Linked DNA regions of Arabidopsis thaliana. The protein of the gene in region 2 interacts with the protein of the main gene of each other region in a pairwise test. Each region holds a gene or a part of one and is shown on either strand. Other genes may lie near its edges.

What was found.
Region 1: the proteins of RFI2 (region 2) and TOE2 interact in binary tests that used the Arabidopsis thaliana proteins (3 or more experiments, as listed by UniProt).
Region 3: the proteins of RFI2 (region 2) and GIS interact in binary tests that used the Arabidopsis thaliana proteins (3 or more experiments, as listed by UniProt).

Annotation. Positions count from the first base shown.
Region 1 is NC_003076.8:24,205,557-24,209,312, forward strand, and holds the start of TOE2 (target of early activation tagged (EAT) 2), read left to right. Parts: upstream 1-2,132; 5' UTR 2,133-2,596; coding exon 2,597-3,129; intron 3,130-3,266; coding exon 3,267-3,292; intron 3,293-3,381; coding exon 3,382-3,412; intron 3,413-3,517; coding exon 3,518-3,605; intron 3,606-3,678; coding exon 3,679-3,756.
Region 2 is NC_003071.7:19,552,707-19,556,462, forward strand, and holds the start of RFI2 (RING/U-box superfamily protein), read right to left. Parts: upstream 1,942-3,756; 5' UTR 1,646-1,941; coding exon 1,453-1,645; intron 1,080-1,452; coding exon 907-1,079; intron 786-906; coding exon 727-785; intron 620-726; coding exon 594-619; intron 505-593; coding exon 216-504; coding exon of another isoform or gene 137-215; coding exon 1-136. Other genes in the region: AT2G47710 (Adenine nucleotide alpha hydrolases-like superfamily protein), read right to left, coding at 2,339-2,426, 2,511-2,632, 2,870-2,964, 3,067-3,250. UniProt on the Arabidopsis thaliana protein: Mediates phytochrome (phyA and phyB)-controlled seedling deetiolation responses such as hypocotyl elongation in response to red and far-red light. Required for light-induced expression of LHCB3 and CHALCONE SYNTHASE (CHS).
Region 3 is NC_003074.8:21,506,078-21,509,833, reverse strand, and holds GIS (C2H2 and C2HC zinc fingers superfamily protein), read left to right. Parts: upstream 1-2,094; 5' UTR 2,095-2,227; coding exon 2,228-2,989; 3' UTR 2,990-3,262; downstream 3,263-3,756. UniProt on the Arabidopsis thaliana protein: Probable transcription factor required for the initiation of inflorescence trichomes in response to gibberellin (GA). Mediates the induction of GL1 expression by GA in inflorescence organs and is antagonized in its action by the DELLA repressor GAI.

The DNA.
Region 1 (3,756 bases), on a different chromosome or scaffold from region 2:
CGTTAAAATCCATGATCTTCGAGATTTTTCTGACACTCTTAAGTTTTGGCAACCGGCTAAAACCAGTCGGAATGTTCATTTGACCTACCCCACTCAATAAACATTTCCAAAGAAAAAAGAGATTCGTATGGACACAAAGAATAGATATTTTTAGGTCATTTTCATTTTTTCGCCCGTAACCTGTGTTAAGAACATAATACGTTGTTACGTACATTTTATTTCTATTTTTAATAAACAATAATTTCCTTTGATTGTAAAAGAATCCCCCTTTATTGGCTTTTGTTCTTTCCTATGTCTTCTTGTACTCAAAATATATTTTGTTTTAGACTTTCGAAATTATCCATTTTGGAAACCTATCCATTTCTTTGTTGATCTCTTTGTATCACATTGCTCTCAAGCTATGTAGTAGTCTTAGAGATTTAGACAATACTAATGAATACAAGATACCATAAGATTTGATACAATATGTTTGTGTTATCAACGTTTGATCGGATATGTGTTTTTTTTCTACTTATAGCTATTCATTCAATGAAAATCTAAAAGAAAATTGAGACACAGTTGATGCAGAGATAATTTTCTCTAGCCTTGATAGATTTTTACAATGTGATATTGTAGGAACTAGGAAACACATGCTTCATTTTTATTTAGGCCATGAATGTTTGTAGTTTTTAAAATGGTTTTTGGATTTTGGATTTTGGTTTTTGGTTTTTAGTTTTTGATTTTCTTGGTTTTTGTTTTTGGTGTAGATTTTAGTTTCTTAAAAAACTTGAATGGTAATTTGTTTAGATTTTGGTTTTTATGTTAATGGATAGTATTTTTTTTACAAAACAAATCTAAAAATAAAATAAAAAATGTGATCGATTGTTTTTGAGAGAGAAACTCCCAAAACATAGATTTTGGTTTTCTTTGAAAAATTGTTAAAACACTCAAAAACTAGATTTCCTATATTTTAGGAAAACTTGTTTTCTCAAAATCTTGAATGGCTACAAAATAGATTTTAGAAAAAATTAAAACCAAAAACTAGTTTAAAAACCACACTCATTCAAGGCCTTACTAAAACTTGGCTACAAACAAGGCGAAGATAACATACATCATTCAATTTCAATAGTAATTAATGTGTCAAAACCTTAGAAATTAAAACAAAATTTCATCACTATGTCCAGTAAGAAAAACTAAAGCTATCAAACCTGATGTTAGTGATTTTTTTCCCCATCATCTTTAACTATTTTCCATACACATTCGTTTTTGTAATAATAACAACTTCTTAAAATGATATAACTTTTGTTACTTTATGCATGTAATTGTTGATTATAGCTAGCTTCTACACCTTTTTCTAACATGTGACACATTTTTTTTTACATGTGACACATTTGTTACGTTGGTTGGATACTTGTTATCCATATAAATCAATAAAAAGTCATATTATTCTATCTCACTCTTTTAAGTCTTTACAGATTTTTGTTTGTGAGGAGGACGTAGCTGCAAATATAGGACCCGCCATTAAATGAAAACAAATGCTTTGTCTTCAAAGCTATGAATATGTGACTTCAAAGTGTTTTTTGGTTTTTATGTGTCTTCAAAGTTGTGAATATAATAGTGTAGATTCGCTTTTCTTTACCAATCTTTGTTTGCAGATTAATAATAAGATATACTATATAGGATACAAAAACGAATTTCGTTTGATTCATTCTATAAATTTGAATTACTAAATCACTTTAGTTGAGTTTGTTCAAGGATAAAAAGTGAAACCCCAATTAAATTTGATGATTTTCAGATGTGTTTACAAAATGTTTCGAAGAACACGCTTCAAATTGATTTAACCAAGATGAACACATCCATTAAATCCTCATTCCATGAACAAAATGCACCTCATTGTCCCTAGGCCTTAACAGATCTATTTAGTACTAATACTGTATTTAATAACTTATCTTGGTAAAGAAATCACAGAAAAGCTTAACACATACAGTTTAAACCGTAAATTTATCATAGTAAAACTGTAAAAGCACTAATCATAAATTTAAACCAAGCTAATAAAACAAAAACAAGTAGCACGTTTTTACTTCAAACCGGAAACAGGCAAAACCGGTATCAAATTGCCGAGAAAGATGGAAGGAATAAATAAATGTTAAAATGTTCCTTTGTTGCCACTAACCCACAGGCTTACGTCCCATCATCATTCCCCGTTCTCTTTTTATTTTCTCTAATCGCCGACGATTATCTCTTTCGTCCGGCGATAGCTATTTTGTCTCTTCAAATCCCCATAGACCAATACTCAACTCTTCATCTCCATGTCTCCTCAATCTCATTTCTCTCCTTAGTGATTGAGCTTTTTCCTTCTTTCTCTTTGGTTATTATTCCTTCTCCTCCTCCGTCGTGTTTTTGATTGATTTCAGAATCTAAATCTCCGTTTGATTTCTCCATACTCGTGCTGATTTTCACCTATGTAATGTGATTTATGAGCTCTGTTTATTTCAAATCGACGGCGATCGTTGAATTTATTGATCAATGTGTAAGTAAGAGCTTGAAGAAATAGTTTTTGTTGTTGTTGTGAAAGCTCAGAGTTTTGTTTGCTTTTTTGTTGACTTTTTTGAGATTGATGCTGGATCTCAATCTCGACGTCGACTCGACCGAGTCTACTCAGAACGAACGAGATTCGATTACTGTTAAAGGGGTTTCTTTGAATCAGATGGATGAATCGGTGACGTCGAACTCTTCTGTTGTTAATGCTGAAGCTTCTAGCTGTATAGATGGTGAAGATGAGTTGTGCTCTACACGAACGGTCAAGTTTCAATTTGAGATACTGAAAGGAGGAGGAGAAGAAGAAGAAGAAGATGATGATGAAAGAAGTGCTGTGATGATGACTAAGGAGTTTTTTCCTGTTGCTAAAGGCATGAACTTTATGGATTCGAGCGCTCAAAGTTCAAGGAGCACCGTTGATATTTCCTTCCAGAGGGGGAAACAAGGTGGAGACTTTATAGGTAGCGGGAGCGGTGGTGGCGATGCTTCACGGGTGATGCAGCCACCATCACAGCCGGTGAAGAAAAGCAGGAGAGGTCCTAGGTCTAAGAGTTCTCAGTATAGAGGCGTCACTTTCTATCGGAGGACAGGCAGATGGGAATCGCATATCTGGTATATCTACTACTGATTGATTTATCTTTTAGATAGGTCTTAGATGAGTTGTTGATCTTTGGTCGAAAATGGAAGAGCTTGGTTTAGATTTTGTATTAATCTACAAGTTTCTTTTTTGTCAATTTTCATGGTTGCAGGGATTGCGGTAAACAAGTTTATTTAGGTATGGATTCTAATGGCTGTACTACTGTGAACTGATTTCTGCTGGGATCTTAGTTCTCTAATAAAAGCTTTAACTTTTGAATTCAATAGGTGGATTTGATACTGCCCATGCTGCAGCTAGGTAATGCCTTTGGAAATGATATTTTTTTGTTTGATCTTATTGATCACTCAACTGTTTTTTCGTTATGATACAATTGTTTCCTAAGTTCAACTTTCGTTGGTGTAGGGCGTATGATCGAGCTGCTGTCAAATTCCGGGGTCTGGAAGCTGACATCAATTTCGTTATTGGCGATTATGAAGAGGATCTCAAGCAGGTTTTGATTACAGATGTACAAATGAAGACATGTACGCTTTGATTTGTTCTTATCTGGTTTTCAAACTTTACAGATGGCGAATCTTTCCAAAGAGGAAGTTGTGCAAGTACTTCGGCGACAGAGCTCTGGTTTCTCAAGGAATAATTCTAGA
Region 2 (3,756 bases):
GATGAGAGGTGATGCGAGAGTGGGACCATTGGCATGATGTTGTTGCCTCTGATGATTATAAGCATGATGCTGTTCACGCATTTGGGTGCTGCTTCCTTGGTAACTGTTAATTGCTGGTGAGGACCTTTGATTAGACCTACAATGCCCAATTCCAAAAGAATATTGTAAAACACTCTGCAAGAAGTTGAGAGCAATAGGGAGTTTGAGAAGCTAACCGGTGACTAAAAAGAAATGGATGCGCATAAGGTAGGCCTCGTGCTGCTGAAGAGTCAACTTCACCATCAACCACATGAGCAGCGGGTAGTGAAAACGATGGGGAATGGTGATGATACTGGGGGGCAACAGGAAGCTGGTGAAAGTGATCGTTAGAGTGGCTGTTCCAGGGATGATCATCTGTGCTGTTATTGTCGCTAGTTCTCGGGGTAGCGGCTGGGCCAGGTCCAACATATGCAAGATACGAATGATTCACAGCAGCGGCGTGATGTCCATGGAACTCAGTATGATCTAAGGAAGAAATATGGGTTTTGACATTATAAACGGATTGCTAGACAAAATGAAATGATTATATACAGAACAATCAGCGTCTAACTTACATGTAGTGGTTGCAGGTTCCAGTTCCCTGAAACACAGAGCAAAAGTCAATTCTAGCTTTCGCGTTTGAAGGATCAAAAGCCTTAGAAAAGAGAGATAATAGCAAAAACCATGGTAAAGGTGTTGTAGGCTTACTCGAAAGAAGCTGCTGCTTGAGAGAGTTCACCAAACGGGCACCAATGGACCCGATATTGCTGCAAACCCCGTAAAAATGTCAGGATAAGCGATCTCTCATAAGGAGGTTATATGATAAAAGCACAGTTCTCATGTACACGAAAAGAAAGCATATCGTTGCACAAAGTAGTGAGCTTTTACCATTTCCGGATAGCTTAAACCGTACAAGTCTTCTTCAGGGATCCAATCTTCCATGGAAAACTCTGGAAAGGGGCGAGTAGAACCGTTTGCATACAACCACTGACCCTTTTCGACATTGCGACAGTTAGGGCATTGCATGGCTCCTTTCATGTTAAATGCTGATCCAATGCAATCTGCAAGAAACCAAAAAACAAGCTGCTAAAGGGAAAGCCGAAAATAGCAACAAATTCAGCAGCCAGATAATAGAACTAGCAAGCCTCATTCTATATCTACACAAGAGAAGAAACCGATTCACAAGTTACGACACACATTTGTCAGAACTCGATCATTTCTAGGATCAACCAACTGCAGAGTCGTGGCAATCTAAGCTTGTAAACAAAGCAAGGGATTAGGAATCCATCTATATTCTCAAATTCATTCAATTATCGTCCAAATCTACCATCAGATAATTGCACAAAAGCTTGTACAAGCAAAAAGCCATCGGATCATCAAACTGTGATGGAGGGAACGCAAAATGGTAAGAGATGGAGGAAGGGAATGAAATACCCAAATGGAACTGGTGACCACATTGGAGCTTAGCCTTGGATCTGGTACCATCATCGAGCACCGATTCGAGGCAAATCGAGCACGAGACTTCGACAGGAGACGAGGAATCCTCCGGGTTCCCGCGTTTTCCAGGGTCACATCCACCAGCAATTCGGAGATCATCATCGCAACCCGAATCTTTAGCTCCGGCCATATCTTCACCAGCAGGCCAAATCGGAGGGAACCAACGAAAATTTTCGTTTTTCGAAAGAACAAAAAAAAAGAAAAGAAAGGATTGTCAAACAAAAATCAATGAGAAACCATGTCTCGCTATCGCTATCTGTCTCTCCGAGTTCGTCTGCCTTTTGGAACGCCGATGCGGTAAATCTATCCTTCCTCTTCCTCTCTCTCTCTCTCTCTCTCTCGTCCGACCTGTTAGAGATGACGTGGTTCAAAACCGGACAATGACATTGGACTCTCCCTTTTCTTTTCTTTCCTCTCCCATTGTGGATAATTTTTTATTATTATTTTATTACTTTAGTTTTGGATAGATGATCATCAAACCATCCATCCATCTGAACCAACAACCAAACTATAAATTTGTTCATTTAAATCATTAATCTCTATTTAGTTGATTTGTTTTCTTCTCTAGTCTCTTTCATATGAAGTTTATTATAACTTTCACATCCATTTTGTTATGAGAAAGATTAGCATATTATAACACACGAATATTGATTGTCTAAGGATACCAAAACATTGTATGTAGTAAACAATTACACATATAGATGCAAATGTATATTGTCTTGAATCGTTGTTTCACATCAAGCTAATATTATTTCACTTTATTCTTCTGAATTAGAAGACTATGCAGAGACTTTGCTTTGACCGAGTAGCCTTCCCTTAGGTTTCAGACCTTGATCTTAGGCTTCTTCACGATCATCACCGAGCAATGAGCATGATGAGCGCAGTAGTCACTCGTACTCCCGAGAACCGCCCTGCCACACAAACCGACAAGTGAATCAGAATGGGTGTATAGTTGAAAGATTGATCATAAGAATTAAGGCTGAATGAAATAATACCTCTTGATAGCTCCATATCCATGGCTTCCCACAACAAGAATAGAAGCATGATGCTTATCTACAACTTCACATAGGATATTCCTTGCATCACCTTCGAAAACTTCGATCACCGCGCCATGAACCTACACAACAAACCTAGGAATGATGATTGAAAAGAAGAAGATAGTTGCTAACCAAAGATAGATAGTTACTATAAGAAAAACCAGTGCTACTTAGCTTGAAGCTCTTAAATGTGCTAGAGATTCACATTCACATTACCAAACTCATCTAATAGAGTCCAATACAACACATGATGACGATTATAAAATCCAAGAAACACATAAAACGAATTTGAATGTTTGATAATAGCAAGATCGTACCGATCTGCTCTGACAAATTGCTTTGGCTTTCTCGACAACCTTAGCAGCGGTATGCTTCAGATCAGCATCAACATAAGGTACAACCTCCGCAGTTCCTAAAACACACAGATTAACAAAACCTAAATGATCTCTCCCCATCGCTGCCCAAAACAGAACCCCTAGAAGAGTAGATTCGAGAGTGAAAGCAAAGAGCGTACCGGGACCAGCGAGACCAACGGCGGAGACGGCGTTAGGTTTGGCGTGGACGATGAAGAGCTTAAAAGGATAATTGGGAGCGTAAGGAGCGAAGAAACGATCGAGCGTCCACTCCAAGGCGTAAGTGCTCTGCTCGCTGTCGTCAACTCCGACGACCATCACCGATTTCCCATCTCCGGTGGCCATGACTCTGACGTTGTTCGCCGGCGTGAAGAAAACGCGCTCTTGTGTTTGTGGTAGAAAGAAGCCTAGAAGAATCCTCCAAAGTGTTTGCACAGAAAAAGAGAGTTTTGGTATCTTCTTCTTCTATTATTTAATTTCTTTAAATAAAAAGAAAAGAGGAATGTGATACTTTGATTTGATGACGTGGCTGGTCCTCATTTCTTTATGCCTTTCCATTAGTAAATTTCCCAATATTTAAAGTTACCCACAGATTTTAAATAAGAAGAACCCACAGATTTTACACAAAATTTATTCTAATTTGAATATTACCCATAAAACAAAGTACATAAAAGGATTTTGCAGGTTAACAGTTATTAGCTTTTTAGTAACAAACTGATATGAATTGGTTTGATAACTTTCGATTTTACTTGGAAATTAACTATTACAAGAAAAATCTAATTTCAAATAGTGGAATGATTTGAGTTGGGTAAAATCCGGCTCAGATGATAACAATTACAAAATAAAAATGA
Region 3 (3,756 bases), on a different chromosome or scaffold from region 2:
TTTAAAGCTCTAGACTAAAACCTTATTCAATCTCTTCACCAACACGTGTCATCTTAGTCTACCTCACATTAATCTAAAGGAACACTGTTATTTACGGTTTCTATTCAACAGCTAAAGCCCACCGAGATACTTTCTCTGCTCGCAGCTACATGGGTCACAAATCGGATCTATGCAATCAAATGGTGTTGTTGCACAAGTTGTTTGGTTCTCTTGAAATTTTATAAAGTATACATTTTGATGTGGTTTGCTGGATGTACTAGCAATCTTCTCTTGTATTCATGCTTATGCTCTCGATGTAGACTAAACTGGCGCATTTGTTTATACTTTATATATTTTATAATTTATGTAATAAAAGAATTTTTTTATGTGATGTTATTGTTTTTATAATTCTTGTCACATGAAGGCGATGAAAATTTTGCTTTCTCGTTTAGTTTGCTATTAAGATGACCTTATTATTGTTGTGTGCTTTGGGATATCTAAACCGATATTTAAATTTAAGTATTTTTAAAATCGAAGTTGCTTTATTTTCTTTTCGTCATAAGGGTTCGTATCATTTATAGAAGATTCTTTTTAGATTAAGGCTTGGAATCGATTCCCCTCAACTGTGTCACTTTTTTTTTTTTTTTTTTTTTTGCACACACTTTTATGGCAAAAAAGAAAACCGAATTTCTATGAGCCGGGGGAATGAGTCAAGAGTTCAGTAAACCAAGAAAAGAGAAATGAAAGAAGTAAAAGCTGGTCCCTAAAAGAGAATTCTCTTCGAACTATATAAATAGTAACATCCGGGTACATGTGTGATCAGTGAGTACACACCGACCCCCACGTACGTTCGTAATGAACCCAATTCCCTGATAACTTTCACCTAGTTTTAGATTTTTTTTAGTTACTTATCATAAATTTTACCATGACCCATTTTCTGCTCCATAAATGTTGTACGTGTCTGTTTCATTACTACAGTATTGTTTATTTTTTACAATTGTTTTTAAAAAATAAATTGAAACGGGTCTTTCATTTATTTAGATCAAAGGTTGTCCAAGAGTTTTAGAAGAGCGACGACATCACAAAAATTTGTTTCATGATCAAGATCCCGTGGGCAAATAGATCCTTAAAGAATCTAATCCATATGAATCAGAAAAGGTAAAGATTAACGGAACCGAGACAAGACATGATTAATTCTTTTAATAAAAACCAATTTGATCAAAAACTTAAATTATTAGTATCGAAAAGAAAACTGTACCAAACTAACTAATATGTTACATATTATATGTACTACCTAGATTAGGTTGAGAAAGCTATAGAATTTCTTTTAAAATCGAAAAACTGAAAATCTCAATGAAATTGGAATTGAAAAAAATCGTAAGTCCTATATATTAATTAAGTGCACTATTTGGAAAAGCACTTGTGGGAATTTAATAAGAAACAAAAGTAGATATCACAGGAACCAGGCGGAACAATGGTTTTGAAGGAAGTTTGTTGGGGAAATGAATATATACAAAAAAAAACTAATTTATTGCATTTTGTTCAAGGACCTATTTCATTGTGACCAAATTTAGCAAAAAAACAGTGGCATTTTCGTGAACTAGTAATTTTTCAGAGTTTGTCAAAAAAAAAAAAAGTATTTTTTCAGAAAGTATTGTGTACCAGATAAAATTACACAAAATAAACTACCATATTTACGAAAATGCCACCCATCCACTATGTAAATTAGAAAAACCAAAATATGAATATGGAGAAGTACATTTTCTCGGAGAAAACTATATACTTAATTAGTAATTTATCAAAATATGAATACGAAGCTTTTATGTTATGTATTCGTGTATATATATATAATCGAAGTCAATAATTTAACCTCCAACAACCTTGCGTCTGTCTAAGCATCTATCATAGATCATGCATTATAGATCCATAATCTTCATCCGATACAATCTAACACAATTAATTCCACACCGTTAGTGAATAATATTGCGACTTTTACATATAATATTATATTCAATCCGTTCATCATTCTTAAGTCTTAAGAGACCAAGGATAAGCTATCAACCTTTCTTTAGCTCTTTGATAATTAGAAGCTATCAATCAACCTTTCTGACATACAACAAATAGAAAATTTAATGAATTGCCATAAAAAATAAGAACCAATCAGTTTTATATAAATGTTTATCTATCTCTCTAAAGCCTCATAACTCTATATATCGCCCAGTCTTTTTATCTCTCTGACTCTCTCTCTATGGACGAGGCTACCGGAGAAACAGAAACTCAAGATTTCATGAACGTCGAATCCTTCTCTCAGCTTCCTTTCATTCGCCGTCCTAAAGATAAGAACCCTAAACCCATTCGTGTCTTCGGAAAAGATTTCACCGGCAGAGATTTCTCTATTACTACCGGTCAAGAAGACTACACCGATCCTTACCAGACCAAAAACAAAGAAGAAGAAGAGGAAGAAGACCAAACCGGAGACAACAGTACGGACAATAATAGCATCAGCCACAACAGGAGATTCGAGTGTCACTATTGCTTTAGAAATTTTCCTACTTCACAAGCCCTAGGTGGACACCAAAACGCTCACAAACGCGAACGTCAGCTTGCCAAACGCGGTGTTTCCTCTTACTTTTATCATCCTGACAATAACCCTTACAGTTACCGTCATTACCCGTCGTGGACCAATGGTCCGTTAACCGCGGCTAGGTCCTATGGAGGATTTTCTTCTGGTCCTAAGCCGTCGGGGTATTATACACGACCCAGCTATGGGAGTCAGTTAGGACTATGGCGTCTACCGCCTCGCGTTCAAGGCGTTTATAACTCAAACGCAGCGTTTACTAGTAATGGCTCTTCTTCTTCTTCTAATTCGACTTTACCGTTGTTGACCCGTTCTCAAACTCAACTATCATCGCAAGTGGGTGGCTCCGCTGCTCAGAACAGAATGTCATCGTACGGTTACGGATTGAGCCCTAACGTGCAAGATCATGTGAGTCTCGATCTTCATCTTTAAAGATTTGAAAACAAAATAAAACTCTTATTGAGTGTTATGTAACTTAGTGCAAGAAAAAACAACCTAAGTTATTGAATATTACGTAATCTTTAACGATTAGACTTCTTATTATCTATACCTATTCCCTTATTGAATGTTTTGTAAGGTAAGAAACGGCACGATGTGTAAGATTCACGGCATCGATCTTTCTTTTTTTACCCATACGTGCTTGAATGAAGGAAGGGAATTTATGAATTTACGTGTCCACATTTAATATAGCTTCGAACACTATCGTTTTGGTTCAGGGAAATTGTCAGTAATAGACTCATAGCAGTGCTTACTAGTTACTAGGGTATTTAACTATAACCGCACAGTGACTCAGATAGAATTTCAACGATAAAATGATAGAATCTTTACTGTACGGAACTAACAAGTAACAAATACAAAAACAAAAATTAAACCTCTCGAGTACAAATCTTTTTACGAGGGTTTGAAACGAATCTAATGGACACTGTACTCATCGCCATCTCCTTGAAACAAATAAAACTCAAGATGGGTAATAAGTAGCTAGGTAATAATTTTAGATGATGCCAATGATGATAATTTGGTGCGTGTGGGTAAGTGAAGACAATGGACAAGACAAAAGGGTATAGAGAGAAACAAAGTGAGTGAAGTGGTCCATAAACACACAGATGTAGAGTTTACGATAGAGATTTCTCATCTGTACTTAATGTAATTACTATTCTCGTAACTTGCAATTTCGAGTAAGAACATAAAGAAGGAGCTAA